Linked DNA regions of Oreochromis niloticus. The main gene of each other region encodes a partner of the protein of the gene in region 2 in a complex. Links are inferred from orthologs where the notes say so. Each region holds a gene or a part of one and is shown on either strand. Other genes may lie near its edges.

Evidence for each region.
Region 1: the proteins of tgfb1a (region 2) and tgfbr1b are in contact, whole or in part, in a crystal structure (PDB 3KFD), measured with the Homo sapiens proteins. The link is inferred for Oreochromis niloticus from reciprocal best matches to the Homo sapiens genes TGFB1 and TGFBR1. Residues at the interface, in NP_000651.3 of Homo sapiens: Ala279, Leu280, Asp281, Asn283, Tyr284, Tyr328, Ile329, Trp330, Gln335, Lys338; in NP_004603.1 of Homo sapiens: His39, Leu40, Thr42, Lys43, Phe55, Asn68, Met70, Ile78, Phe84, Val85.
Region 3: the proteins of tgfb1a (region 2) and nrros are in contact, whole or in part, in a cryo-EM structure (PDB 7Y1R), measured with the Homo sapiens proteins. The link is inferred for Oreochromis niloticus from reciprocal best matches to the Homo sapiens genes TGFB1 and NRROS. Residues at the interface, in NP_000651.3 of Homo sapiens: Leu30, Ser31, Thr32, Cys33, Thr35; in NP_940967.1 of Homo sapiens: Phe194, Glu195, Ile196, Glu197, Gly198, Gly199, Phe201, Leu210, Leu212, Pro218, Cys219, Ile220, Val221, Asp222, Phe223, Gly224, Leu225.
Region 4: the proteins of tgfb1a (region 2) and itgav are in contact, whole or in part, in a crystal structure (PDB 5FFO), measured with the Homo sapiens proteins. The link is inferred for Oreochromis niloticus from reciprocal best matches to the Homo sapiens genes TGFB1 and ITGAV. Residues at the interface, in NP_000651.3 of Homo sapiens: Gly242, Arg243, Arg244, Gly245; in NP_002201.2 of Homo sapiens: Asp178, Asp180, Phe207, Tyr208, Gln210, Ala245, Asp248.

The regions. Positions count from the first base shown.
Region 1 is NC_031974.2:34,528,139-34,534,993, forward strand, and holds the start of tgfbr1b (transforming growth factor, beta receptor 1 b precursor), read left to right. Parts: upstream 1-3,838; coding exon 3,839-3,902; intron 3,903-6,855. UniProt on the Homo sapiens protein: Transmembrane serine/threonine kinase forming with the TGF-beta type II serine/threonine kinase receptor, TGFBR2, the non-promiscuous receptor for the TGF-beta cytokines TGFB1, TGFB2 and TGFB3.
Region 2 is NC_031979.2:33,775,523-33,783,342, forward strand, and holds the start of tgfb1a (transforming growth factor, beta 1a), read left to right. Parts: upstream 1-4,811; 5' UTR 4,812-5,180; intron 5,181-6,134; 5' UTR 6,135-6,515; coding exon 6,516-6,840; intron 6,841-7,820. UniProt on the Homo sapiens protein: Transforming growth factor beta-1 proprotein: Precursor of the Latency-associated peptide (LAP) and Transforming growth factor beta-1 (TGF-beta-1) chains, which constitute the regulatory and active subunit of TGF-beta-1, respectively.
Region 3 is NC_031974.2:26,327,387-26,335,395, reverse strand, and holds the start of nrros (transforming growth factor beta activator LRRC33), read left to right. Parts: upstream 1-4,989; 5' UTR 4,990-5,196; intron 5,197-6,549; 5' UTR 6,550-6,562; coding exon 6,563-6,664; intron 6,665-7,832; coding exon 7,833-8,009. UniProt on the Homo sapiens protein: Key regulator of transforming growth factor beta-1 (TGFB1) specifically required for microglia function in the nervous system.
Region 4 is NC_031987.2:29,168,861-29,175,724, reverse strand, and holds the start of itgav (integrin alpha-V), read left to right. Parts: upstream 1-3,845; 5' UTR 3,846-4,266; coding exon 4,267-4,430; intron 4,431-6,864.

The DNA.
Region 1 (6,855 bases), on a different chromosome or scaffold from region 2:
ATTCTCTGATATTGGCCTAGTGACAGTTTAGTTATTCTTATTAATAAACTGTAAGAAGGGTTACAAGTGCAACAGATGTTTTGTCAAAGTGTGTCTTCATTCTCATCTGAGCACCTACAAGCTCATTACAAACAAGTGTGGCATGGCACTTTGCAGTCACTCTTGGGCCATGGTACATCATTTCACCATAAACCGCCCATGATGAGGTGCTTCCCTTAAGTTTTCAAATAGAGGACTAAAAAGAATGATCAAAAAAGTTAAGCTAAGGAGCACGTGTGGAGAGCTCCAGACAGGGAGAGTATGGTCTGATCAGATCAGACCAAAGTTGATGCCATAGTACACACAACGTTCAAAAGGCACTGCATATCACCCCAAAACACCGCACCAACGACATCATGGTGTGGGGCTGTTTTTCAGCATGCGCCCTGGCACACTTTATATAACTAAAGGAATGATAAATAGAAAAATGTACCAAGACATTCTTGATAAAAATGTCTTGCCATCTACTAAGAGGATACAGACAAAATGAGGGTGGATGCTTCAGCAAGAAAATGGGCAGGAGCCTGTCTCAGACACAATAGGGTGATAGACAGGGTAGACCCCGGACAGGTCGCCAGTCTGTCGCATGGCTAACACAGAGAAACGAACAACTATTCACACACACATTCAAACCTGTGGGCAGTTTAGAATCCCCACTTAACCCCACTAACTGCGTGTCTTTGGAAGCGGGAGTACGTGGACATAACCCAGGCAAACACAGGGACAACATGCAACCTCCATACAGAGGTGACAGTGCTAACACCACCATGCTGTCCTACGTACATCACAGTAATCGTTAATATAAATCTATACAAATATAACTGCTCTTCTTCCCCTCCTGTCCTGTCTTTCTGATATCTTTCTCCATCGCTGAGTGAAGTTATCTCACACTCTTTTCTTTCCCTGGAAATCACCACAGCTGTAGCTTTAGCTAGCAACACGCTGTGCAGCAATGTGTTTTCTGTTTGTTGAATTTATAGAAACATTGAATTTGAAAGGACCTGCCACTTATAAAAACGTTACTTCCTTTATGCTCTGTCCTGTTCAGTAGCACTAGCTCGATGCTAAAGTACCACGACCACAGTTTATGGATTGTAATTCCTACACATTACATTGTCCTTTATAGTTAAAATCCTTGAATTGACGCTCGAAGTCTGGATTGAATCACCACTTGAATGTCAGACCATCACAGTTGTTATGTAGATGTATGATTTAAAAACCTTTCAAAAAATTGTTTGTCATTGTCCAAAAGTTTATGGACCTAGCTGTACCAGCAGAGATGGGCAGTAACGCGTTACCGTAATCCAATTACTTTTTCCAAGTAATGTAAGGGGTTACTGTTGCAAAAAAGTAATTACATTACAGTTCTGTTCAGTTACAGTTACAGTCATTACAGTTCAGTCTTACAGTTACATTCCTGTACGCACGCTGTGTTACTGCGTTACTAAACTGAAAGTGTTTCATGACAATGACATACAAACGTGCAGCGCCTGTGGCAGCAACAGATGTGTGCAGATCAACAATGGAGTGATGGAGAGAGTACGACCATGCAGCGTTTAAAGCGTGGAATTACTCGCATTACTTTAAGTTTTAGTCCGTAAAAAGTGACCAAAACATTACCGTCCGCTGTGCACTCTGCGTGGGAAGCAAACTTCTTTTTACAGCGAAAAATTAAACTTCAAATCTGAGTGAGCACTGAGCACGCTGCCACGGGAATGTGACATTCACAGAGAAACCCCCGGATCCTCCCACTGACATGACTGCTGTGGGCAAACCTCCACCCACCCCACTCCTGCTAAACAGGTGACAATAGATTTAAGAGCGACAGGACTCAAAGCTGCTGAATCTTTGATTTTATTTATTCTTTGCTGTGTTTTACTTGCATCTATTTGAAAGAGTGAGTGTAAACACAAAACATTATTTTATTTCATATGCTGGAACATGCAGACAATAAGTTTAAATGTTAAACAAATTTCTTTAAGTCAAAGACTGTTGCATATAATTAAATTTTTGTTTGATACAACGTGCATGAAGTCAAAAGATTAAAATGCATCAAAAAGTTTTAAAAAGAGACTTTTTCATTTGATTACGTTTTATATGATTTATTATGCAGAAAAAATAGAATTGTGCTGAAAGGTCTATTGCTTTATTACATATTCAGGTTGTGTATCATGTTCAAGTAATAAAGTAACTAATTACTTTTTGAAAATAAGTAATCAGTAAAGTAACAGGATTACTTTCTTGGAGAAGTAATGAACAATTAGTAACTTATTACTATTTTCAAGTAACTTGACCAACACTGTGTACCAGTAGCAGTCCGTTTATCATTTACTTCAGTTTTCTTTGATTTGTTTTTTAAGTTTTGCCATATTTGATTTTAATAGTAAAAAACAATTTTTTTTTTTTTACAAAATTGATGGAATAGCAACAAATGCCATCTTTTCTGACATAAAACTGTTTGTCAATAATGTCACATTTTGAAGTCCATAATGGCATTTCCTGTCTGCTTCTCCAGATGTAAGCACCAATCAAAGAAAAAACACTCTCAACTCTGTGAAGCTGACCAGTTTCTCTTTGCTGTCATACTAGATGTTTTGTATGTAATCAAATTTTCTACATATTTTGCAGATACTGTAGGTTGGATGTGTTTTGAAATTCCGATTAAATTTTTTAAAATTAATTGTGTCTGCTGTTTTTATACTACTACTACTACTAATAATAATAATAAACTTTACCCAGGAAACTATAACCTTTGATAAGCATTAAGCTGCAATTTTGACTGCAGCTGTTGAAGCTATGGCTGCGTTGCTGGGGCCAGCACTCAGCTTTATTATGTATGCTGTCTTCATTGCTCTGTTATCAGCAGCTGTTTGTAGCCTGGACATAGTTTTACTTTACCGTGTTCTTATTGCTCATTCTGGTAACTACAAACAAGTTATTTAGGAGCTGTTAAAGCCATTTAGAAAGTCCAAGCAAATGATTAACAGCATATTTAGATGCACATTTATACATACACAGATTATGAAATGAGGGTTTATAGGTGTTATTTCATTTTGTAATTCATGGCTAATTCAGGTATTTACTAGTTGTTAATTAAGTATTTTTATGAAGTGAGTGAACCAACTGAGAGTTCAAAGCATTTACAAACCTTAAAATGCAAAAAAGCCTTCCCTATCTTCATAACAGAAGAAGCACAAAGGGATACAGGACATACAAATATTTGATGTGTGATGCAAACATAACTCACTATTTATAGAAAACAGAAATGTATGTCAGACCAGAACCTGAGTTTGCAGAAGGGTTTGAAAGAGAGAGACTACGGACTTACAGAGTATTTACTCTGTGGAACCAGCTTCCAGCTTGGATTCAGGAGACAGACACTATCTCTACTTTTAAGATTTGGCTTCAAACTTTCTTTTTTGCTAAAGCATATAGTTAGGGCATATATCATAGGGCATATATCATATATCACATATCCCCTGTGTAAGACTTATTATTCTATTCTCTAAGAATAGTTTGGTTTCTATTAGAAATATACGAACACGGTGTAGTACTGAAGTAATATGAATGTAACTAAATTATAACATTCTTTGTTAATGCAGTGAACACGGTTTGTTTACAGGCGCGTTACAGTTGCTCTAGTGGGCGGGGTGTCGCACGTTCCTTGGCCAATCAGCTCGCTCTGCTCCTGAGCAGGTCCTGGCCAGGCGGGCTCGTTGCTCCGTCAGCCTATCAGCGGCCGTCTTCTTCTGCGCAGGGAGAAGTTAGCAGTCGAGTGGCAGTCTGGTTCACAGCCACGATGGGTGCAGTACGGCTTTTTGTGGTCGTCCTTCTTTTTGGGACAAGGATACAAGAAAATAATGGTAAGTGGCCTGAAATGAACACAGTAGATGTGCGTTTGTTGGTGTTCTCGTGTATTTGTCGAAACTTGCACTCTTGGTTCGACTCGCTTCCCTTAGAAGTGCTCTTTGTTCAAGAACCCCCAAGAAGCGGGTTGTGTCTAACTAAAATGGCGTAGGGTCTGCGGCCAGTCTGCTGCTGTCTGCCTGATGAATGTTTATAGTCTGGGGGAAAAGGACAAAGGCAGCAACAAGTCACACGGCGCTGAGACGGTTCGGCGTGCTAAGCTCGTTTTTGGTCACCCGTTCCGATCCTGCTTTGGACCAGCACCGGACCGTCTGAAGGAACAGTCCGAGTGTGGCTGAGAGAAAGTTGGCCGCATCACGGATGGATGTTTGCTTTTTGTCAAACATTAATTGAAATTGGGAACAAACATTTTTCCTGCTGGGATTTATGTAAATATCTGTATTTACCATTTCTTATCTCAAACGCGTTGTTAGTGTTCTGGTCAGGACTCATCTTGAGGAGCATTAATAACCTTTGATCTCAGTCTGATAAATAATTCCGTTATTCTACGTTAATAAATGCTTAAAGAGTAACTTGCTGGTTGACTTCAGTAGTTTTCTGCCTGACGAGCAGACGCTAGCCTGTTAGCTTCTGTCAGACATTAGTTGAGCGCTGCTGTAACTTTGAAGAAGAAATTCATTTAAATAAATGCTGAAGTCGCTGCTGCGTAAATGCCAGAGCTGCATCGTTTCACTGCATGTTTGCAGCAGCGTAGTTGGCTACAGTAGAAGTGTTTAAGGAAACGCAGCTTTGAAGTAGCCAGCACGATTAGTGACGAGGGCAGGCGCGTGCACTGCTGCTCGCGCTCGCGAGTGTTGAGCCCCGATTTTTATTAGTTTTTCATTAAAAAAACATCGTGGTCGCTAAAACCAGCGCTGACTGTTACAGGTGAAGGCTTTTCTTAAAGGTACAAGCAGCCTTCACCTGCATTTTTATTTTTTGCGCTTCATTGTGTGACATTCCTTTGTGTATACAGAGAGGCTGGTGATGAGTGGGGAAGCGTGATTTCAGCTGGCATATACAAAGAGGTCATTAAAGCCCCCCCGTGGGGTCCTCATATACTCTGCTGCTGCTTCAGTTGCAGGCTGGATGTTACACTGATATGTTGGCTCAGGGATACAAACAAAGGGGAGGCACTTCTGCTCTTTGTTCAGCAGGAGGCTTGTCATGGTCCATGTTCGGAGCAACACCAGTCCTTCTTTCGTTTGTTATCCTCACATTAACAACAAGTCTGATTTTAATTGGACCACGAGTGGCTGTGTGCTACAGTTTAGACTGCATGAGAGCATCTTCACTGCCACCTCTGTGCCACGTTGCTGTTCAGCACCACACCCATGCAGCTCCCACTCCTGCTTCAGCAGCATCCGCACACAGCTGAGCACAGGCAGCAAGCTAAATTGGATGGTGTCACTAGCACTCATCATCCTCCCCCCTAACGGGCTGGAGGTGATGTTCTGTCACTCAGAAAAACCTTCTTCCCTCCCATCTTCCTCCTCCATTTTTAGCACAGTAAGAAATGAAAATCGTGAAATATTTTAAGATGTAGAAACCGATCACCTACAGAGTATTCCACGTACACACTACTACATGCAGAATTCAAAGTATATACATGTTTGCAAATGTTTAAATGCAGCAGATGAGCTGGAAATGATACACGAAGCAGTGTCATTCAAGAGCTGTTTTTTTTGTTTCCTAATGTTAAAGTGTTGCTAGAAGAGTGGACAGTGGGCACATACCTGGTTTGGAGAGTGAGGCATGTTACTGTGACAGTCTGTGTACCACATGCACACCACTATAGTGACACGATCTCTGTGAACCACCATGTTTGAAGGCTTGAGTTTGGCAGAAAATCGTAGCAAAACATGCAAAACCAGATATGACAAGAGGCGTCAAAGAATTGTTGTGAGCACTGCCAGCTGAAGCTAATGTGTCACATGTCCTCCACGCTCAGTGGAGTAGACGAGGGTGGGTGATGTTCAAGTAATTATTGAAAAGTGTTTTTCCTTAAAGCAGTGGCCACACTGTCAGATGGTTACACTGGGCAGAGTGGTAGGAAGCTAACTTTGAACAAACACAGCAACAAACATTAAGCTGAATGAGAGGAGAGCCTTTTCCCATAATGCTGTTTGATGAATCCTTCAATAACAGCCAGGACGGGCTGTTTGTTAGTGACCCAGTGGTCATGGGATTTTGTTCCACCAGTGGCAGCTCTGCTTCCTCTTTGATGGAGGGTTGAACAGATGTTTTTGTTAGAAACAGTAAAAATCGACACAGACGGTCAGTTGCTGTTTTTTGCGAATGGTTGTGTTGCTCATGCTTCACTGTTGGGTGTTTATACAACATGTTATTGTTGTGGAGGTTTTTCTGGGCACCGCGTTCTCCCACCGTCAGGACTAGCAGTGGAGGAATGCCAGGCATGTGGGTGACCCCAGACACCCGTTGTCCTTGCTTAAAGAACCACAACTAATTTGAGTGGTCGTAGCCACACGAGCAGCCGTTGGCAACAATGTGTTAATGAATAACCCTCGATCACTGACGGAGAGGCTGCTGTGTTTCTGAGTGAAAGCTTCAGTCTGGCTGAGGACGACGTCTAGTGTATGATGTCAGGGCTGAAGCTGCTGGTTATTGTAGTGATCGATTATTAATGAGTAATAAAAAGAGAAAATCACAGTATTTTTAACTGCACACATCTGTCAACAATAACCAAAGCGTCTGTTTGTATTTACTTTGCATACTAAAGTTTGATTTGTTTAAAGAAAACATTCTGTTAAATACAAAAATAAATAATCTCAAGTCCAGTCAAATAAAGTAAGCTCTACATGCAGTCTAAACAAAGTCATGAAACACAACAGACTCTGTCTCCTTGGAAGGCTTTCTTCTATTAATAGGAGCCAAAAGAGTTCAGACAAT
Region 2 (7,820 bases):
CTTACTTGTGGCAAAATGCACAGAAAAGGCAGAAATACGGCCCAAACACAGAACATCAATTCACAAAGCCGTCAGCGTAACACACGCACGTATACACTTTCGTTGTAACCATGGAGACAGGTCACACTAGCCTAAGAGAAGAAGCACGTTGAGGTAGTAGCAAAAAGTTGATGAGTAGTTTAAATATGTATTATATGGCACATTTTTGGTTTATATTGAAGATACAAGAAGGAACTTAACATAAAATAACTCGGCCACTTTATTAGGCACACTTGTTCAGTTGCTTGCTAAAGTTTTAACGTGATTAACAGCAATCCATTGCATTTAGGCATGTAGACACAATCAAGTAAAATCTGATATGTTGAAGTTCAAATTGAGGATCAGAATAGAGAAGAAATGTGATTTAAGTGCCTTTAAACATAGCATGGTTGTTGGTGGCAGATGGCATGATCAGAGTATTTCAGAAAGTGATAATTTGCTGGGATATTCCTACACAGCCATCCCCTGAGTTTACAAAGACTGGTCCAAAAAAAGAAGGTATCCAACAGACTACAGTTCTCTGGGAAAGGCAACAGTAACTCAAATAACCACTTGTCACAACCAAGGTATGCATAAGAGCAAATCTGAATGTACAATGCCTTGAACCCTTGAACCTTGAAGCAGATGGGCTGCAGAAGACTACACTTAGAGCCAGTCCTGTAGGCTAAGAGCAGGAAAATGAGGGTACAATTTGCTGGAATTGGAAAGTTATAAAAAACATTGCCTGTTCTCACCAGTCTTGATTTCTGCTGGAACATGCAGGTGGAAGGGTCAGAATTCTGCATATATAACATGAAAGCATGGTTCCATCCTGCCTTGTATCAGTGGGTCAGGCTGCTGATGTAAAAGTCTGTGGGAATATTTTCTTGTGACACTTTATGCCCCTTAGAAGAATTGAGCATAATTTAAACACCACATCCTACTTGACAATTGTTGCTTCAAGTAAGAACCTTCACCATGTCCATCCATCTATACCAGGGGTGGGCAACTCCAGGCCTCGAGGGTCGATGTCCTGCAGGTTTTAGATCTCACCATGGGTCAACACACCTGAATAAAGTGATTAGTTCATTACCAGGCCTCTGGAGAACTTCAAGACATGTTGAGGAGGTCATTTAGCCATTTAAATCAGCTGTTTTGGATCAAGGACACATCTAAAACCTGCAGGACACTGGCCCTCGAGGCCTGGAGTTGCCCACCCCTGATCTATACCCACGTCCCAATCCAACAGTGCAGGTTTGGGATGTGATGGAACAGGAGATTTGCATCATGGATGTGCAGCCAACAAAACTGCAGCAACTGCATGACACTATCATGTCAATATGGGCCAAAACCTCTTTTTTTTTCCTTTTTTTTTGCCTGTCCCGTTTGGCTCTTTTGCCATCAGAATTATTGTCTAAAGGCAAAGAAAGATGCCCAATGGATTTACTTTACCAAATGGACCATCCCAGCTTTGCCGTAATGGTCTGTTTGATTATTGTTTATTTTATTTTATTTTAACTTGCTAAATATGGGACAGACTTGACTGGGGAAAAGAAAGGGGAGAAAGAAAGAGGGAAAGAAAAACAGCAGGGAAGAGGAACGGTGATAAAGGGCAAAAAACAAAAACCAACAAAATAAGCAGACAAAAAATACATATATCAATCACCTGGATCACCTGTTGAGAAAGAAAAAAGAGAAAACAAGCAGAAAAAAAAGAGCAACATAATAAACAACATCATCACGATGATCTATGGGAATATAACAGTAAATACTAAATATTAAACATTATGGTGCAACACGTGAGATCGACAGCGCACAGTGTGCTTTGAGGTAGGAGCCAAAGAGGGTGTAGTTTGTGTGTGTGATCACCCGTGTGTACACCTCTGAGCATGAGCGCACTTGTATTTAAAAGGTTCCTTCATGTAATGATCTGCTAGAGGGTGTGGGGAGCCACAGCCCCGTCCTCCAGGGCATGAAGCAGGTATGGAGGAGATCAAGACTCCAGACATCCAGAGGCCCCCAGAACACAAGAGACCAAGGAAGACCAACAGAGGGGCAGCCGCGCCACTATCCCAGAAAGAGCTGAGGAGAGCCCCAGATGAGGGGTCACTCAGCAGCCGCGGAGCAGAAGCCAGGGGGGGTTGCAGTGACGTGCCCGTGAGCTCCGCCGGCAGCCAGCTGTGCCAGAGTGACCGAGCCCCAGGCCGAGCGGCCGAGGGCACCCCATCCCCGATGTGGCCCGAGCGAGCCCCAGGCTCCAGGCCCCGACAAGCAGCCACCAGGAGTGAGCCGGTGTGTACCTGGACGCCCATCCCCGGACACAAAGAACCACCAATGCGCCGATGTCTGAGGGCATCTGCCACAGGGGAAGTGGTGGGGGGAGATAGGCCTCCATACCTTGGAGGGCCTGAGATGGGCCAAAACCTTTAAGGAATGTTTCCAGTACCTCGTTGAATCTGTGCAACAAAGAATTAAGGCAATTCAGGAAGCAAATGAGGTCCAACCCAGTGCTAGAAAAGTCTACAAAAATAACCCCAAGACTTGTGACAGCTAAAATTAATTTCCTCTAATTAGGCTTTAGATCACACAATCAACAACACCCAGTCAGCATCGACAATATGATCAATTTTAAAACTATCAGCATAAAAACTAATGACCTCAGCTTTGAGAGCAAAAGCTGTTATCCAAACCAAATCCCAGAGCAAACTTCATGCCAGTTCTCAATATTGTCATCAGTTGGAAAGACTGTTGTAAGACCTTACAACATCTGATGTGGTGATATGATTTATATACTATCTGTTCTCTCTGTTGACTGTGAATATTTTACCTCACTTCTTTCAGAGACTTCAGTGTTTACCACAGCTGTGTGGGATCTTTAGCAGAATGACACAGAGAATCATTTAGCTCTTCGATGTGAATGATGGGAAAGCAGTCCAAGTTGCACTCTTGTGCTCAGAGACACACAGACACCTTGAGGTACTGCCATGTGGGCTATGTGGTGACAGGTATGAAATGCCCCATGGCAGACTGGTCAGACAGGATGGCTGTGCAGTGTCAGTAAGAGATGGATGGCATCTTCTTAAGTACTTATATAACTGAGATTTCTTGCTACAGCAAACTTTCACACAACTTCTGTTCAGGGGTTTTCTAAAATACTCTATCCACTGTGACACTCTTAATTGTATTACAGAATACACGTCCAGTTAAAAGAATGACAACATAAAAGGTCTTTTTTAGCCATTAAAAACAGTCTGCTTCTTAAGACTGTGTGTAAGATTTTTTCCTCTTGTAATTTTCAAACGTTACTCTTGTCTATCTTATTATGCTGTTGTTAAAACAGCACTATACATTTGTAATGTATATTTTTTTGTAGGGGAAATAATTTGAAATATTCTACCAAATATCCATACCACCAAACTTATTATCGACAAGAAAGTCACTTCTATAACCGTTACACCATATTTGCCCACCAGGTGGCAGTGCATGCCAACTGGTTTAGGCGTCACAACACAAAGACAAAGATCAGCAACAACATTAAAAACACACACACAGGTAACAGTAAAAGCATAATCTGTTTACAGTGCTGGGAAACCGCGGGACCTAGGATTCATGTGACTTTTACTTTGACATATACCACCTACCTAAATTCAAATGTAGATCCCCCAATGTCAAAGGGACTCCATGATGGCAGGGGCCTCCCCCAGCAGGACAACACACTGCCACACTGCAGAAACCTGCTCAGAAATGGATCAACAACACAGCCAAGATCCACAGGCTTTGGCTTTGTTTTCCATACTCCCAGTCAGACTGAGCAACCGCAGGATTCCACAGAACAAGCCCAGTCCATGAAGGCCCAATGGACCCAAAGACTCTACTTGTGCCAGGCATCGGCGGACAGCCCCAGAGGTCCTGTCTCCATGCCCAGACAGTGTATGGAGGATTTAACAACACTAAATAAGATGCTATTGATGTTGTGGCTGACTGGTTTACAGTAATGGCTGCTGACATTTGATCACCCTTTTTTGTTTTTTTCTCACTATCTTATCATTAAGAGTAATCAGAGACATGGAAAAGCTGACACTTAAACAGCCTTTAGGTTCCTTGTTTGACTGACAACTGTTGTTGTATTACTGCTGAAATACAAGGGGATTTTTGCCCTGACTTTCCCTAATGCTGAATGTCACTATTTATTATCAGTTTGTAATGAACAGCTTATTCATCAGCACATTTGGGCAAACCTTAAAAAATTCCAAGAGTCTCCACTGTGCAATGATAGTTTGTTATCTTTACTTCTCTGTTGAATCATCCATCAGAACGAGACAAAAAGATTGAAATAATCAACAGTTTGTTTTAGTCTAGCCCTTCTTTTGAAAATATACAATCTAACCTCTAAAAAGCACCCAGACGCAGGACAGTGCACCACACAGCCCTGCCCTGTTGACTCCCAATGCTTTGAAATTCACTTGACTATTTTTAAACCAGCTTGTCTCAAGTATCTCAGTTCTTTGACATGGTTTGGCTTACACCTTTTTATCCACCAGGTAAATGTGGTGGGCGTTCGGTGAAAAATTTGTATAAGACTTTATTGACATATCATCGCTGCCTCAGTTGCCAACATCGCAATGTGACAGAGTTAATGCTTCTAAAGTCAGTATTAAGCATGTTCAGTTCCTGGCTTCCTGATGTGGACAGAAGTCAGCTCTGTTAAACAGCAGATGTTTTACACTGCGGCCGTTACCCTCATTTCCTGGGCGGAGAGCTGCTCGCTCTAATAGAGTAACAGGAACAAGAGAAAGAGAAGAGCTAGAGGGGGGAGAGAAAGAGGCAGAGCAAGGCAAAAGAAGTTATCTAAGCTCAGAGCTCCCACAAATCACTTTGTCACCAGCAAGCTCTGACAAGCAGGAGGAGAGAGAAAGAGTACGAGCAGAGACTCGAGTAAAACAGAGGTGCGAATAGGGAGTGTTGTCGGTGGAGCCTCGAAGGAAGAAGGTGTGAAGAAACTGTAGAGGGAAATAACGAGGTGATACTGCTGGATGGACAGAGGGAAGATAGAAGAGAGACGAGACTGAAATCCAGTTCCCAAAACAGCATAAGTTAAGGGGGACGGCTACTGCTGTTGTTACTGCCGCTGTGTCTGGATGGTACATCACCATTTAAAGAAGGTGTGTCAAACTTAAAATCTGTTACCGGAGGACACTGTTTCATTGAGACAGACATTTTAATCTTCTGACAGCAAACGCGCTAGAGACATTTAATCTCACAAGTGGAACCCAGAGAGCATACACTATCATATTATCATGTTTGAGAGAGAAGAGAGGGATAGAGAGACAGCTGCTCTGTCGGTGAAGTAGGCATGAGACAGAGGCGTTGAAAGCAATTTCTGGTGTAGTGCAGCTGTACACAGATCACATGTTGTTACTAGTAAAAAGAGGTAGTTAGAGCCAAGAGCAGTACATGTTTGTGAAATGTTTTTCTATAGGGGCATGCGTAGGTTTGTGACTGGTATTGAATAAGTTGGTGAAAGTAACTTCTTTGAGAACAATTTCTTTCTTTTAACCATTGATATTTGATTAGCTCCGGACTGACTAAAAGCGCCTGAGAGTTTTATCTGGACTGGAAAAGCTGAGGTCATCTGACCAAACCTAAAAAAAATAGGAAGATAATTTTCAAACTTTTTAACCTGAGACTATTATTAGTATTTTCTCTTTATTACAGAACATTACTGGGGAAATATTTGTCATTAGCACTAATAAGAAATTGTGCCAATTTAACCGTCTTAGTCTTAGATAACAAGTAACTCAGGCTCTGTAAACACCTGTCTTCATTTTGCTGAGTACCACACTACTCTTTTCACATTCACTTAGGTTGCCTCTGTAATGGAAGACTGTGGTGACATGTGGAGGATGATATGCTAGCTCTAAAATAGACAGGATTCAGTTTATATAATAATATAATATAATTTTGCATTTGGAGGTTTGAAAACATACAATCAAAAATTGGTCTGTGAGCACAGAAACAAATCTGCTGAATCCTTGATGGGTAGTAGTTTGTTTTGGACCTAGAGGTGTTGTGGAGACTTACAAAAGGGCACTGACTGTGTGCATGGGCTCTTTTAGCATTTGACAGCTCTGTTCTGGACTTGCTTCATCCTGTGGGACGTCACTGGGTTACCTGTTTGGCTGAGTCAGAGGCTGGGTCATCACTGGATGTCTGTCTGCTCACTGGGATTCTTTCCATCTGTTTCAATGCAAATAAGACAGATGTGTTAGGTACTTTTTACAGCAGCAGTGACAGCCGTGGTGGTGAATTTTCAGGACTCTCCACACTGCTGTAATTGTTTTGTCGTGTGTAAACACTTTGCGTCAGTGACACCTCTCCACTGAGTGATTCACTGTTCCCAAAGGATCCCCGGTTGGAGGAAGGCATTGAAAGGGAAGTCGGAGGAGCTTTTATTAAGAACCAAAGAACACAAGTGACTGAACAGACAGGTTGTCAACATGAAATTGTGGTTCTTGATATTGATGGTCGTGTACATGGTGGGCAGTGTACATAATCTGTCTACATGTAACACTGTGGACTTGGAGATGGTGAAGAAAAAACGCATTGAGGCCATTAGGAGCCAGATCCTCACCAAACTGCGTTTGCAAAAAGCGCCAGATGAGGCTGGGGAGAAGGAAGAGATCCCTGCCAACTTGCTATCACTCTACAACAGCACCAGTGAGATTCTGCTGGAGAAGCAGGATGAGGAGCAGAAAATCATCCCCAGAGAACAAGAGGAGGAGGAATACTTTGCCAAGGTGCTTAACAGGTTCAACATGACCAGTGAGTATAAAATTACCCTTAGCAGCAATATATAAATCTTGAATCTGTGAATCCTGATTGAATATTAAGAAAGGGGGCAATTCCTGATGGCTTAACTATAGTTGAATGTCAAGTAATGACTGTTATTTATGCTATTACAAGCTGAGACACATAATTCAAGGTGAACACTAGCATTGCACTGACACTTTCCACTCTGAAAAAATAGTTATTGTCCAGATGTCACATGAAGTGATGCTGTTAATCCCTCCACTACAGCAATACTGCTGTAATAATGTTATTATTACTAGCAGAAACATAACAATAGCATCGCTTACAGTCCCCCTTTGAATCAGACTTTTGTTCAGAATTTTGTTGATCAACACTAATATTAAATATAGTGCTCACAGTGCTGTCCAGAAGTTTCAAGCTGTACTCCCAAGTATTCACTGTATGCCTTATGGCTGGTGTCACTTCCAATCTTGTCCATAAACTCCCTCAACACGTGTAACCCTTATGATCTCCACCAAAGATCCTGAGGCAGTTTCAGGGGTTCAGAGATCACAGGCATTACAAGTTAGCAGAACTGTGTGCAGCATCTGGTCTGATGCTGTGTGTTGCTTACATGATATCCATGGCATTTTTACTGCTTTATTACTGCTCTTTGTCTGGCAAGGCTACATATGATGTTTGTTCAGCCAAATGGTTTCTGGCTGTAATTGCCTAATGATTCCCAAACTATTACGATAAACATATTTTCTAGTTTTGTTTCTATGCACCATTGTTCTCTGCATGTCTATACTCCTCACCCTATCAGGCAGCCATCCACACTATCCCCCTTTTATCCGCCACTTCAAACGGCACACTTTAGTGGATGGACCACGCTCAGGAGTGTGTAGACCAAAGAGAGAACAAAGCAACCTTCAAAATGAAGAGCACAATTTTGTTCTGCTTAGATAACAACCAAAGAACAGGATGAAAAGTAGAAAAGCAATAGGAAGAGA
Region 3 (8,009 bases), on a different chromosome or scaffold from region 2:
ACTAAGACTATCCTAACTGCTTCTACAGGAATCAGGGAGGTAAGTATTAGCCAGGTGATGCTAACCAAATGCACTCTTTTAGCTGATCATCAGTGATCAGTACGTGTGAGCAGCTCTATAAAAGCAGAAGTTTTAGTGGTTTGCATGTCTGGACTATTTAGGTGTGTTAACACAATCTTCCCAGGAGTTGACCTGTCAGCCAGTTCACCTAAAGAGCAGACCGTGCAATGCTCAGTGAAATTGCAAAAAAACATAAGAGCTACATCTCAGACTGTACAGGACTCAGCTCGCATGTTAACTGTTAAAGTTCATGACAGTACAATTAGAAAAAGACTGAACATGCTTTTTGGAAGGGTTGCCAGGAAATATCCTCTTCTCTGAAAAGAACATAGCAGCATGGCTTCCAACGTTGCATCTGAACAAACCACAAGACCCGTGGAACAGTGTCCTTTGGACAGAGAAGACCAAAGTGGAGATGGTTTGCCTCTAATGCACAGCAGCACATTTGGAGAAAACCAAATGCAGCATATCAGCACAAACACCTCACACCAACTGTCAAGCACGGCGGTGGAGGGGTGAAGATTTGGGTTTATTTTGCACCCACAGGACCTGAGCACTTTGCTGTCATTGTGTCAACCATGAACACCTCAAAATGTCAAACAGTTCTAGAGTCAATTATGAAACAAGATGAGATAAAAACACAATGTCTTGAAGCACAGCAGCAAATCTACACCAGAATGGCAGCAAAAGAATAAAAAGTCCAGACCTCAACTTGATTGAAATGCTGTGGTAGGATCTCAAGAGAAGTGTGCATAAACAAATGGCCAAAAAGCCTCAATGAACTGAAGCAACGCTGTAAAGAAGAGGGGAGCAAAAGAGTGGCAGTACACCAAAACAAGCTTTCCATTCAGCAACATACATAAAGCTGGGAGTTGATGGCATTTCAGTGTGTGAGTAATGTCTTAAACATGCTGATTTACTTTGAGGCACCACTTTGGTCTTGTCTGTCTAGCTAGTGAGTGAACAACATGCACATCTCAACAGAGCAAAAGGCCTCAGACAAACAGCAACATATCCAAGTGAAAGTTGGGATATATCTTTAAAGACCACAATGCACTGCTCATAACCTCAGCTGACCTCCTCTGAGAGTTTCATCCAAAATGAAACATTTCAAGCTTGACTTTTGCTTTCTTTTGTAAATGTAGAGGTGTGAAATGGTGTCTTCACATCGCTAACATAACTGACATGACTGCGATGTCGAGTTCTGTCTTCCTGCTCTCTATCAGTATTTATTTAAAGGCAACTCTGCAATAAAAGATACATTTTACATCTCAAAAAGTGCCAACAGAAATTGTTTTGCAATGCACTAAAATCAGCTCAGCGTGACTCAGGGAAAAAGCGTCTCAGTGCTGGACAGCATCTCAGCAGTGAAGGAGAGAATTCATTGAATGATTGACTGTCTATGTAATGCCAAGGCAAAGAGATTGGCTGCTTCGCGTCTGCCAATTTGTGGCTCCTGTTTACAGCTTGCCTGTTAGAGTACCTGCTAATACTCCCCGCTTTCTGTTCTGTCCTTGAATGTCTGTTTGCCGGACTGTCTATCAAAGTCACTTTCTCCATCCTTGATACTTTTACTTTGCCCGTCTCACTGTCTGTATCCAGGGCTGCTATCCTCCCGTTCACCATCAAACCTGCTGTATAACTGCTTAACTGGTTTTGTCCACACATATCAATCTAATATGGAATCTGAAAAAGGATGGAGACTATATATAATTTATTTTAAATTAATTTTTGAAGCTTTATTTAGTTGCTGCCTGTTGACTGTACAACCATTAACATAATAATGAAATACTGGAATTTCAGTCACTAAAATTAATGCATAGACTTATAGGAGCATCTGTACTGCACTGCAAGCCTTTCCATTTGTCAAACATCTCCAAAACATAACAGCCAAGGTTATCATAGTTAACTAAAACTAAACTAGAAACTCAAACTAGATGTGAAAAAACATAAACATTTGAATTAACTTAAATGTAAAAATAAAAGCTGGACTTTTGAACTAAATTAAAGTGGTAACGATTTTGTGAGAATGAAAAAGTTCCCTTTAAAATCAGTTCAATAATAGAAATAAAATCCTGGTGGATGCCAGTGCCTCACTTTGATATAAATCTATGTTTCCCTTGGTTTAAGGAAAGTTGCATTTACAGGTATAACTTAGCAATATGAGGAACATCTACACCTTCTCAAAGGTTTTCTAAATCCCTCTGATGCAATGTTTGACTGGCGGGAGACTTCGACAGAGCCGAGATTTAAGGGCCCACGAAAATGCCGCTGATCCTCGAGAAGTTTCCACAAGAGGGCAGTGACGGTTTTGTGCATGCAATGCAAATATCTTCCCACCACAGAGAAAGCCTGATGATATGCAGCAAAGGCTCTCGAGAGGATAGAGGTTTCCCACATTAGTGTAACGTCAACTGTTGTTGCTGCTTGTATCTGTTCTCACAACCTACAGCCTTAAACAGACGACTGAGGTGTGCTGATGTATGCTCCGTATGCTCTGAAGGCGTTAACAGGAAGACAGGAATTTTGTGAATATTTATAGAAGCTGTTTTTAATATCTAAAGAAATTAAGCAAAGAAAGAAAAGAAACCGTTAAATTTAAGACACTAAGAAAGTGTTCTAGTGTTTACATTTAAGTCTCCATCCCTTTTGTTTCGTCAAATAGCAACTACCCACATCCCCCTCCACCCCCACCCCTCACACACACACACACACACACACACACACACTCGTGGGACTTTTTACACCACCGCTAGAACCCTTTCGCAGCTCTCAAAAATAGAATGCAAATGTCAGTAGTGTGCCATGTCTTAAAATGGCTTCAGCTGCTGAAACAGACAAAAAAAAAAAATAGTGCTATGTAGTCACACACTGCACTGCACGTGTTCACAACACTGAGCAAGTGTAGTGCAGGAGCTGCTCTCACCCAGTGCGCTTAGCTGACACACACTGCCTCACACTGCACGCTGCTACAACTGAACATGAGCAAGGCCACATGTAAAGCTGCACCTAAAGCCACTGTAGGTCACATCGCTGGTGGAACACTAACAGGTGCACACACACGCCATTTCATTAGATACACCTGTGCAGTTGCCCATCGATGCAAATATCTTATTAGTCAATTGCAGCAGCAACTCGGTGCACGCAGGTATCCGGACACGGTCAAGACGAGCCGCCGAAGTTCAGACCGAGCATCGCCATGGAGAACAAAGGTTGTTTTAGTGACTTTGAAGCAGGTATGGTTGGTGGTGGCTGATTATCAACTGGGATTTTCCCACACAACAATCTCTAGGGTTTATAGAGTTTGCAGAGATGAAAAAGAGACAATAATCAGTGAGCAGCAGTTCTCGGACTGAAAATGCCTTCTTGATATTGGAGGTCAGAGGAGAATGGCCACACTGCTTCAAGCTGATAGGAAGGCGACAACCAGTTGTTACAACCAAGGTATGCAGAAGAGCATCTCTGAATCCACAGCACCTTTAACCTTGAAGCAGATGGGTTACAGCAGCAGAAGATCACATTGGGTGTCACTCCTCTCAGCTAAGAACAGAAAATTGAGGCTACAATTCACACGGGTTCCCCAAAATCAGACAACTTTGGGCCCCTTTCTGTCAGTTGAGCATGGTTTAACTGTCACAGCCTTTTTGAATATTGCTGCTGACCATGTCCATACCTCTGTGACCACGTCACAAAGCTCAAATCATCTCAAACTGCTTTCTTGAACACAACAGTGAGTACAGTGTACTCAAATGACCTCCACAGTCACCAGATCTCAGTTCAACCAAGCACCTTTGGGATGTGGTGGAACAGCAGATTCACATCATGGATGTGCAGACAGCAAACCTGCAGCAACAGTGTGATGCTCTCATGACTAAAACCTCAAGGGATTGTCTCCAGCTCCATAATTAATCTGCGCCATGAAGAATTAACGCTGCACTGAAGGCGACAACGCAGCACTAGCAAGCCGTACCTAATGAAATGGCCAGTGAATGTATAATAGATTTCATCTCAACTGCAGAGGCATTTCTGTAGTAAGAACAACAAGTCTTAAATCTATTTCTTTATGCATCACATGTAACGTTTAAAGGTGCCCTGTGGGGGCTTCTTGTAGTTCATAAGCAGCCACCTTATTTGATTTTACGAGTGTCAAACAAACAACAAAGTCAGCACCCACACATACTCATATGGATCAGAAAATCTTGTTGCCACCCAACCTTGCAACAGAGTCAGAAGTGAGACGTCCTGTGTGAAAACAGGAAGGAATGCCTGACCAATCAACTCTCCACAGAAGGCACCATCACTTCCTGATTCCTAATTCCCCATTCTTGCACCAACTCTTCATTACAAATAAGATACAAGCTAACAGCTGGAGTTTCACAAATGTTGAAAGTGACTTTAGTACATTTATTAGCTGGAGAATGAAAATAAAATCAGTAAAGCCAAACAGAGTACATTGCTTAGTTTCTGCAGTTATGCTCTGAGCCCTTGTGCCTTATCTGACTCAGAATCCCTATAACCCTCGAAGGTATGTTTTTATAAAGAGTGCTAAAAGTCAGTTTATGTGTGTGTGTAGATATATATACATATATTTATATATACATATATATATGTGTGTGTGTGTGTTTTGTCTGTTGCAGTGACAGGCCGAAAATAAGGCAGGAAGGGTGTGTGCGTTGAGTGGTTTCCTCTTGAGTAGCTTGGCTGATCAGAACGAGCAGAGGGTGTGAAGGGTGTGTTCTCATTGGGTTTTTGTGGTAGCAGTTGTGCTACCAGTATCAGTTGTCTGAATAATAACGCTATTCTGCTGTGAAGCTGTGAAGGAGAAAAGGAAAAAAAAAAAGAAGAGAAAGAAAACACTTGCGCAGTGGTGGTTAAGAGCTGTTGAGCCTGCACTCGCCTTCCTGTGGCCCCGAGCTTGAGAACCTGCCTGATTGCAGCTTGTCCATGTGACTCGGTTTCCGTTGCCTGCCTACTTCCGTGAATAGTAAAGAAGGGGCATCTGTGCTTCAGTCAGTGCAGAGGAGAGCAGCTGAACTTGACACACATGTGAACGCGCTCTGCAACAGCGAATCAACCAGCGATATGGTCAGGGGAGCAACCGTCAGTGGCTTGGCAAATCCACACCTAACCACCAGTGTAAGTAAATGAACTCTGTACTGCACGGTGTTCTCCTGCGTGAAGCAAAGCGCATCGCCTAAATGAGGAATTCCTAATTTAAGCCCATTTTGCAGTCGGTGCATTCAAGCAAGATACTTTAACGATCATCTGTTTCTGAATACGCTCTATTTTCTGAGTGTTATGTATGCATACACCCGCGCACCGCTTTGACAAACGAATGTGAGCGCAGCATAACAGTTTTCAGACCATGTTTGAGTCATTTAGATGTTGCCTGATGAATGTAAACATATAGTGCGCATAAATGCAAACGCAAAGTAAGTGTGCGTGTCTTTTTAACACAGTGCACGGTCTTATTAATAAAAGAAATAGGCTGCATCAGATAGAGAAAGGAAGATTCTGCAAATATATGTTCTTCCATGAGGTTAACTTCTCTCCAGGAACATAGTTTAGAAATTATATTGAAAGCGGTGGCACAGTTACTCAATGTGAGCTACGCAGATGCAAAATAAAAATGGTAATAAATCGGTTAGACAAATGAAGAAACATAAAAAAATGTTCAAGAAAACCTTCGTGTTCTTTAGAAACCATGCATGCGTTATAATGGATAAGCCAACAATACATGCAAGCCAAAAAGGAACGCACGGCCTCCACATACAGTGAGTCACACAGTGGTCTGATTTGAAATCTGGGAAATTTTTGCAAAACGTACAGCAGATGTTTTCAGGATAAAATATGCCATCATTTCCGACATCCCGAGACAGGCCGTAAGTCAAAGATTGAAAATCAGAGTTATTCACATATAATAAAAATGAAACCGAGTACATGACGTTGGCATAAACGGTGTAAAGATTATATTACACCTTCACATTTTAGAGTTTTATCAACTGTACTTACTATTTACAACAATTTTCATTTAGATATGAGCAGATTGAAAAAAGTGATGAGCTCCACTCTCACCTGAGACACTTAAATATAGTCTTGTAGACTTTTACACTATCAAAGCTTTTCAAATAATTGTGAAAATGAACCTCGGCTATAAAAGTTGAATTTTTAAACTGCCTGTCCACTCTCTGACCTTCTGGCTGCTTCAGCATTTTAATAGCAAGCTGCTTTCGTCCATTGCTAGGATAGAATTTCCTTTTCAGACACATATACATTTTAAGACAAAGTTTATAATTACACAATTTTTTCATACAAGGTTTTTCACTATATACAAATAGTAATAACTATGGTTTAAAACAGAAGAATAAGCCCACTGTCAGGCCTATATTGAACAACCAGCTCCTGCTCACTTCAGCAAAGGGGAAAAAATCTAAAAGTATGTGACACAAACACGCTCACGCATTTCTTCTTCTTCTGTGTTCTCAACAGTAAGGATGAGAAAATGCCAGTCCACAGGCTCACACCCATCCTTCTCTGCTTGTTGCACATGTGGAGAACGCTGACGCCAGTCTCGAGTCATCCGCAGCACCATCGATGTCAGTTGGTAAGACGCTCTTCGTTCCTTTAGCTTTTCCCGAGCACAATGAAAATTGGTTGTAGCATGTTTTAGGAATATCGGGGAAATTTTACAATATATCACATGGAAAAGGCCAAACGATTTCATGTTTGGCTTAGTTAAAACTAAAAAGTGACTTTGGTAAGACAACTTCAAAGGTAAAATTTCTAATAAAAAAAGTTATTCCTAAGGCACTGAAACATAAATGTGTAAACATGAAATTTGTTTGGAAAAAAGCATCAAGTAATGATATTGAAATATGGAAAGTTCTGTATTATTAACAAAGATCCAGTCCCTAATAGGATCCACCTTCTAAAAGCACGCTGTATATGTGGTTTATACCTTTAGTTAGATCAAAATCCATTCAGATTAAATCCATTGGCACATTCCTACACTGTATTAATTATTTAATGACGTTCCAATAGGCCACAAAAAAGTCTAAATTTGTGAATATTAATATCTGATGCAGGGTTTTGGAAGCGGATGTCAATTCTGAGAAAGAAATGAAATCTCTCTTGTTGAGTGTTTATCAGTCATATAAATAAATATAAATATGAATCATTCTAGAAATGAAACATCTAAAGCAATAAAACCAATAAAACTCCGAGAGGGGAAAAAATGATTAGTTATTTAAACTGAAAACTTCAATTTGGAGCGTTTTTAAAAAAAAAATGCATCTCGCCAGAAAGTATTTTTAGAGTGGTCCAGTGACTCAGAATGCTAATGGAAAAGTGATCTGTCAAGGAAATAATAAAGTTTTGGTAAGCTGTGGTATGACCTACTAGACTAAGAAACTACAGCCCACCATGTTTTTCTGTGAGCCAGTACAGTGGGTAACAGTACTTTCAGTTAAATCCCGAAACACAGGAAGACTAAAATGGTTGCACTAACAGTAAGACGCTAATGTACTGCAGGCAATGCTCATTATCTTAGTTTAGCATGCTAGCATAGTTTACAAATAACCACACGAGAAGTAATTTAAGAGGGAAATCTTCCCACAATAAGATATTTTAAGTGCACATGGATATTATTCATGACGATCTTAAAATTTATCTGCTGTGCAAGAAAGAAATGCAGTTTCTGCCAGAATTTTAAAAAGCCAAAACACAACCAGTATGCAAGTGTTAAAGCATGTGCTTTTTTACCTCCTCTGCAGATACAACAAACGGCTTGCTGCAATAATGGTCAGCTCACATCTGTGCCCGAAGGACTTCCAGAAAACATCGAAGAGCTTCAGCTCAACTACAACCTCTTTGAAACACTACAGAACGCCTCTCTTCTCCGTTACCCTTCACTAACCGCCCTGAGCTTAGCTTGCAACAATTTGAGTAAA
Region 4 (6,864 bases), on a different chromosome or scaffold from region 2:
GAAATGAACTCTGTAAAATCGCCACTAAAATTAGATTTTTAAACCACTATTATGTGTACAGCAAAAATGAGAAAAAAAGGAAAAAAGGGGTGGGGGGTGTTAGCATAGAACAAGTGCAGAGTTGCCCTGGACTGGTCTGTTTAGACTTGACAGATCTGTTTTGACTTGAGCTGTGCCATTTGGCCTTCAAAGATTCCAGACATGTGCCAAACTGCAATGAACTTTGACTCCGATGTCTTGATTTTTTTAGGCTTCCCTGTTCTAAACTGGCCTGTATTGCTGTATGTTATTATCCTGAAAAGTCCCAAACTGAGAAAGCAGGAGACTGGAACTCGGCTCTTTTGATTACATGTTGGGCTCAGGACTGGATTTTTAAAAACTTTTTGTTATCAGACTTAGTTCTTGCTTTTTCTTCATTCTTTTACCTCGTTGCCTTTTCTAGAGCTAAATATACAAAAGTTGTAACGTGACTTTCAAGAACAGAAAAGAACAAAAGTGGTACCTGCCTATCCCTGAAAAGGGGCTCACTAATGACTAGTAAACAATAATGTTGTCCCCTTCTCAGAGAAACTTTGATTGTAGCCATTTTTAAAGCAGGCAGATGGATACTTCCTTTTGCAAATATGTTACAAATGTGTATAAAATGTGTAATGTTGTTAAAGACTTACAAAAGTCACCTATTACTGTGTTGGTTTCTTTGGGGCTATTATGTGTGGACAGGCATGCTCTCATTGTGCTTGCATGGGTTTTCACCTCCTCTTGGATAATTCTTAATCAACCTTAGATGGGAGGCAAATTACATAACACACTTGAGGGCATAAAGTGCATAAAATGAGGTGTTAGATAAATAAAAAAGAGGAATAAAACTTGTAGTGTAAAGTGCATTAAGTTGGTGAAAAGAGTTGAAATCTAAGTCTGTTCTGTTCCATTATTATCCATTATATTTGAGAGTTTTATATTCGAAACTTTAATCATTTGGATCTGGTTTGAGGGGTGTCTCTGCAATGGATTGTAAGATTTTACTATAAGAGTCAAATCATGAATCTGTCATATAATAGTGAGGGCCCAACAATAAAACTAGCTTTGCTTGCTGTAATCATTGTTCTTTTCCAGTTTGTCCCAGAGAAGTCTGTTCCCGAACCACTTTTACTGCAGAGGGACAAAATCCACAGTCCTTACTCTGTAAATTTACATGGTAAAGTTGATCTGAAGCATATATGATGCTTGAGCAGTTTAGCTTTGTCCAATCAAGACGATGTTTCCCTAAATTAAAATCACCTCTTTTATCACTATCACTGCACCACAGCTCATTAAGAAAAGGGGGGAAATTTGCCAATTCTTTAGTTACTTCAAATGTAATTCATCAAGAAATTGCTTTCTTTGGTCTGTTTAAGGAGCAAAACCATTTTCAGCGTCCACTTCAAACTGCCTAAACATAAGAGGTTGAACAAATGAATTAATTCTGTCGTTTAAAGTTTCCATTATCTAGTAACAACGTTTCAGCTAACGAGACAAACCAATCCTTCATATTATCTGCTGACAGTGGCAACGTTTTTTAGAGGTGTAAAATGTGTAATGTTCTCACAATAGGAAGGGCCTTTTAAATTTTATTTATAAAAGTAAACTATTGACTATTACACTTCAGCGATCTTTTACACATGACTGATGATAATAAGTTGATGATGACCCAGAATGAAGCAAAACAGAACAGAAAACAGCTACATGACAGTCAAAATCCCTCCTTATAGGCTACGCCTGCCTGTCTTGGAAAAGTGTGTGTGTGTGTGTGTGTGTGTGTGTGTGTGCGAGTGTGTGTGTGTTCACGCTGTCTGATGCAGGGGAATGGACTTCCTGTTCAGAATGTGTTGTCATGTTGACTAACCAAGGACACCAAGAAAGGGAAACGACCTGGCCTTCAGAATAAAAGCTTGGTATGTGCAGTCTAGTTAACATGATTAAAGGCATTTTAACAATCCCAAAGCTATGGAGGCTAAATAATTTGCTAATAGTCTATAAATAGAGCATTATATTAATAATGTGTTATATAAGGTCACAAACAAACATACAAACAAACATTGGTTTAATACATATACATAGATTAGTGTGTAATAATGATTTCCAAAACAAATGAATATGTTCTCATAAACTTGCCTGAATTAATCCATTAAAATATATAGGACTTGGGCCAGTTTGTGGAAGTCACAGTGTTGCCTCTCCAACTTGAATACAGTGTCCGAGATAGTGAGAGGGACATCCCTTTCCTGCCTAACTGTGTCTTATGTATGTGATTAGAGATTGGCCAAATACATAGTACGCCCAAGGTGGAGGACAAGAGAATTCATGAGCGTTTGTGTGTTGTGGAGGCAAATTTTAATTTGTGTCTGCACCTTCAGATTCAAAATGGGAAGGTGTTTTATCGTCTGATAACAGGTCTCTTTCACCAAAGAACCAAAATGTGAAGAAAAGTGACAGCACGACTGGATTCTGGATAAAATGCTTTCCTTTTCCTCCTCAATTCACCGCTCATCTCCTTCATATCAATGTGCATATCAATTTTTTCAGATTTTGTTGCAGTTACTTATTGCCAGCATGCGACCCTGTGATTAGCTGACAACCAGCTGTACAACAAGAACTGGTTAAAAGTTAGTTTAGGATTGAGTGTCTTAAAAATCTCTCTTTCTGTCTGATGTAAAGATTCTCATATGACTGAGTGAGAGTTTATTTTGTAAGTGTTTGAGTAAAACAGGGTTATATTAACTTCAAGGAAACTTTCACTAGCACAGGCAAACAGAGGCTAACAGTGGCAAACAAGTGTTATTGGCAGAAAACCTTAGGATGTTTGCAACAACTCGCCTCAATATAGGGCTGGTTAATCTGGGATACCAGGCATTTTCCTGGTGGGCCGATAGGCCCAAAAAGTGACTCAAGGGTAAAAACATAAAATACAGCAAAATATTTGACACATAACCTTTTTTTTATTTATTTATTTTTAACTCTTACATCTATTGTTAAGTATATGTATTCCTCAAATATATTAAAATATAATTTTTTATATACAAACAGTAACAGAAAAAAAGTTGGTTATGTGGTACAGTCTAAATTTAATGTTTTGATCTCTTTTGGCTGACTACAACATGTTTGTCCTATAGCAGCCACCAAAGCACTGAGAGGAGTTGACTGCAATTATGCAATCTGCTGCCATCTAGTGGTGAGATTTTACACACTGTAACTCAAAAAAAAAAAAGAAAAGCAAAATATGCTAAACATTTTAATAAAAATTCCTAAGAAAACAGTACTTGATGGACTTTCACTGCTTTTTCAGCAGAGCATCATATATAGTGTTTCTCACAACTGTAATGAATTGTAGTGGCACAAACATTTCTATGACTTTTTTTGTGTGTGTCTCCTGATGGGCTGGATCCAGTTTATTTCTCTTTTATTTATTTGTTCTCTATTAATGGGAGTTTTTATTTGGAAACAGCAGTGCTTAGTGGCCAGCTTATTTTGGGCAGGAAGAGAACCTGAATGTTTATGGACTTGATAGAACGTCTGAGCATTTATGAAGTATCGTCACAACAACAATAACTACCAATGATGCCATTGCGCACTGTGTGTGTAATTTAGCTGAGCAATAGTTGAAAATAATTTAAACTATTTAATATTTATCTATATATCTAGCTAGCTTGAAAGAAACTCAACTGTTCTGAATCCCTTCCTACATTTGAAATTGTAAATTTGATTTAAATTTCCAACTCCCAGCACAGCCGAAAATCATGCTTTTGTTTTGAAGGGTATCAGACGGAAGTTGTTTGCTATGTTTGGACATATAACTTGACTTTAGCTAGTTGGAGCGAGCCTATCCTTGACACACTTACCCACACCATACAACATACACACACACACAGTGTCGCGGCCTCTCCCCGAGCTTGTTCCGAGATTACGCCGCTTTCATCGCTTAGACAAACTAACGAATCGCCGGTGAAAGACTGACTCTGCCCCCGCCCTGCGCTGTGTGTAACGCTGGTTAGCTCCGGTACAAGCTGGGAATGTGTTTTATTTAACAATTACATGACGACTTGTTCTCTGTACGGTTGCGGGGGGGACGCTTGTTAGCAGGGCTGAGATTTTAGGCATTTTAAAGTTACACCGTGGGTGCATACAGGCCACAACACCTCTAAGCTAACTGATTAACTTGATAAGGGACAGACAACATCTTCGGCGTCTGTGTTTGTGTCGGTGAAGCCGCGGAGATCTCCAGCAGCAGCCATGGCAGGGACACGGACAGCTGCTGTGCTGGTCCTGGTGTGTTTACACTTCCATCGCTCCGGCTCTTTCAACCTGGATGTGAATAATTCCATCGTATACTCCGGACCTGAGGGGAGCTACTTCGGCTTTTCGGTGGACTTCTTTAAGGCTTTAAACAACCTAAAGTAAGATTTGTAGCAGAGTAGATGGTTATGGTGATGATGGTGATGGAGAAGCGCCTGTTCAATGTAACCTTTGGTTTACCTTACTTTACATTATATATGCTTCTGTTGAAGTACTTTACTTAAGTTTTACACTTTGGCCATTTTGTTATTTAGTGACAAGTTCTCAGCTAGTGATATGTTTTTAAGATTTAACATGACAGTCCATTAACAGCAGTCCATTAACTTTTAACTTTTACTTCAGTACTTTATTAACCAAATTGTAAGGGCTGAATTTTACAGGCAATTTGAATTTATTGCCCATTATTATAACCATATATTTTAAGAAAAATCCATAAGTCAGAGATTCTCCCTTCAAAGCTGCACCAGCTGTGACTTTATTTAAAATGAACACAGACAAACAGGAACAGTGCCCAGAGGCCATGTAGGCTTGGTGCTGTCTAAACTCTCGTCCATGGATATCCATGATTATCCAGTTTTACTGAAGTGAAAGTAGTTCTCTCAAAAGAACACTACTGATCTAGTTGTTTTCAGACTGCATTTGTTTTGTTAATTTACATCATTAACAGACCAAATGCAGTCCCAAAACAGTGCCAACGCCCTCGGTCATAGAGGAGGTTTAACCTGAGGTGCTTTTAAATTGTGTTTCCCATATTGTCAAGTGTCATAAAGGTTCCTGAAAAACGTTTTTAAAAAATATTCCCTGGAGTGTGTGAGACATCCTAATAACAGTCTTATCATCGCCTTTATGCTTCCTGGTCTTGTTTCTTGCTGTATTTTTAGAGTGTCTGCATGAAAAGATAGCAAAAAGCTGCCTGTCATCCTCTCTCCCTGCACAGAGTTTCTGCAGCAGTTTTGTAGATGCACATTAACAAACTTGCACCGTGCTACTTTTTATGTATAATAAGAAAACAGGTGGTTTTTTCCCAGACCTCTTTAAAGCATCATCCCATAACGCATAGCCCAGTTGTTCATTTTTTGTGTTAAATAAATTCTTGTGGATTTCATCCCTTGTTCAACTAAACATCAGTAGGTACCCAGGAAAATGTCAGTTTATTGCAGATGACTCCCTCAGTGCAGCAGAGCCCTGTTGACCTTGGTAAGGGAACATATTCAGTAACTTTGTGTTGTAACATCTAAAACCTCTATGCTGTGCAGATAAATATCGATTGCCTGCCATTTCTCCATATTTCAAGGTTCAAGGTTCTTTATTTGAGAAAATATCAGAGAAATGTTGCAGTCTCATGTGACAATAGACTGACAGAGCGGACAGAAAGTTAGAGACTTTCATCTGCAGTAGCCTGAAAAACATTGAATCCTTTTAGTAACACTAATTAGATCAGCACTGAAATTCACTGCCCATGTTACAGTTATTGCCATGGTCAGAGTGGATTTGTATAATATGATATCAGGACCGAAGTTGGCTGAACATGGCTTAATAATGTAAATATGTCCTCATACAGAACACGGTCGCTGTGGAGACTCGTTTGGTTCTAGTTATTAAAAAAGAACTATAGATTTTCCTCACAGGGCCTAATGCATGTCAAGCATAAGCTGTATAAAGCATGGTCGTAGCTACTGTGACGCCACCCATCACCCATTAGTGTTTGACTGCTGCCATTTTGGTTTGCTGAACCCAGAAGTGACTGTGGTTAGATGAGAGGGTGGAATGATACGTTGTCGCTAGGAAACATCATCTATAAACCATATGGGTTGAATGCACAGTTACAGATGCCTACTAAATAGTGCTAAATAACAGACAGACACTACAATTTCACTCACCAAAACTGAATCACAAACTTCTTAGATGCTCCGCACCACACCCATGTCAGTTGTTTAAACATGGTGACTCCAGTTAGTGAAGCTGAAACCCAGCGGGTACCAATCAGCTACAGCTAAACATGTTGTCAGCATCTAGATGGATGAGTTATAAAAATAAATACAAATCCCCTCATACTAGAGTTGTTATGAAGCTGGAAACTCTCCACGGAGGCCAAAAACAGTTTTTACACCAGGCTGTAAACAGGCCTTTTAATGCATCTATGGGCACTGCCTCACTATGTTTTTCTGATGCCAAGCTCAGAGCCACTAGAAGAACCGTTCATTTGTGGTACTTTGTGTTGGCTTCATTTAGAGCTATGTATTCTGTTAAATAAAAAAGGTCAAAAGTTTTGATTCATTTTATAAATCTCACAAAGCTATATCAGCCAAATGTTACTAACAATAAGCTACGCTAAGTTCAGCCTGTCCTTCGGTTTTTATTAGCTAGTTTGAGGCAGCAGTAGTGGCTGGAAGCTAAAAACCCCCCAGTGTAACAATGTGTGGCCTGCAGTAATTACACGTATTGAGAGATCACTTGATTTGTAGCTGTTTTCCTGTTGTTGTTTTAATTTTATTCTACTGAGTGTGGTTCCTGTCAGCTTTTAAAACAACCACA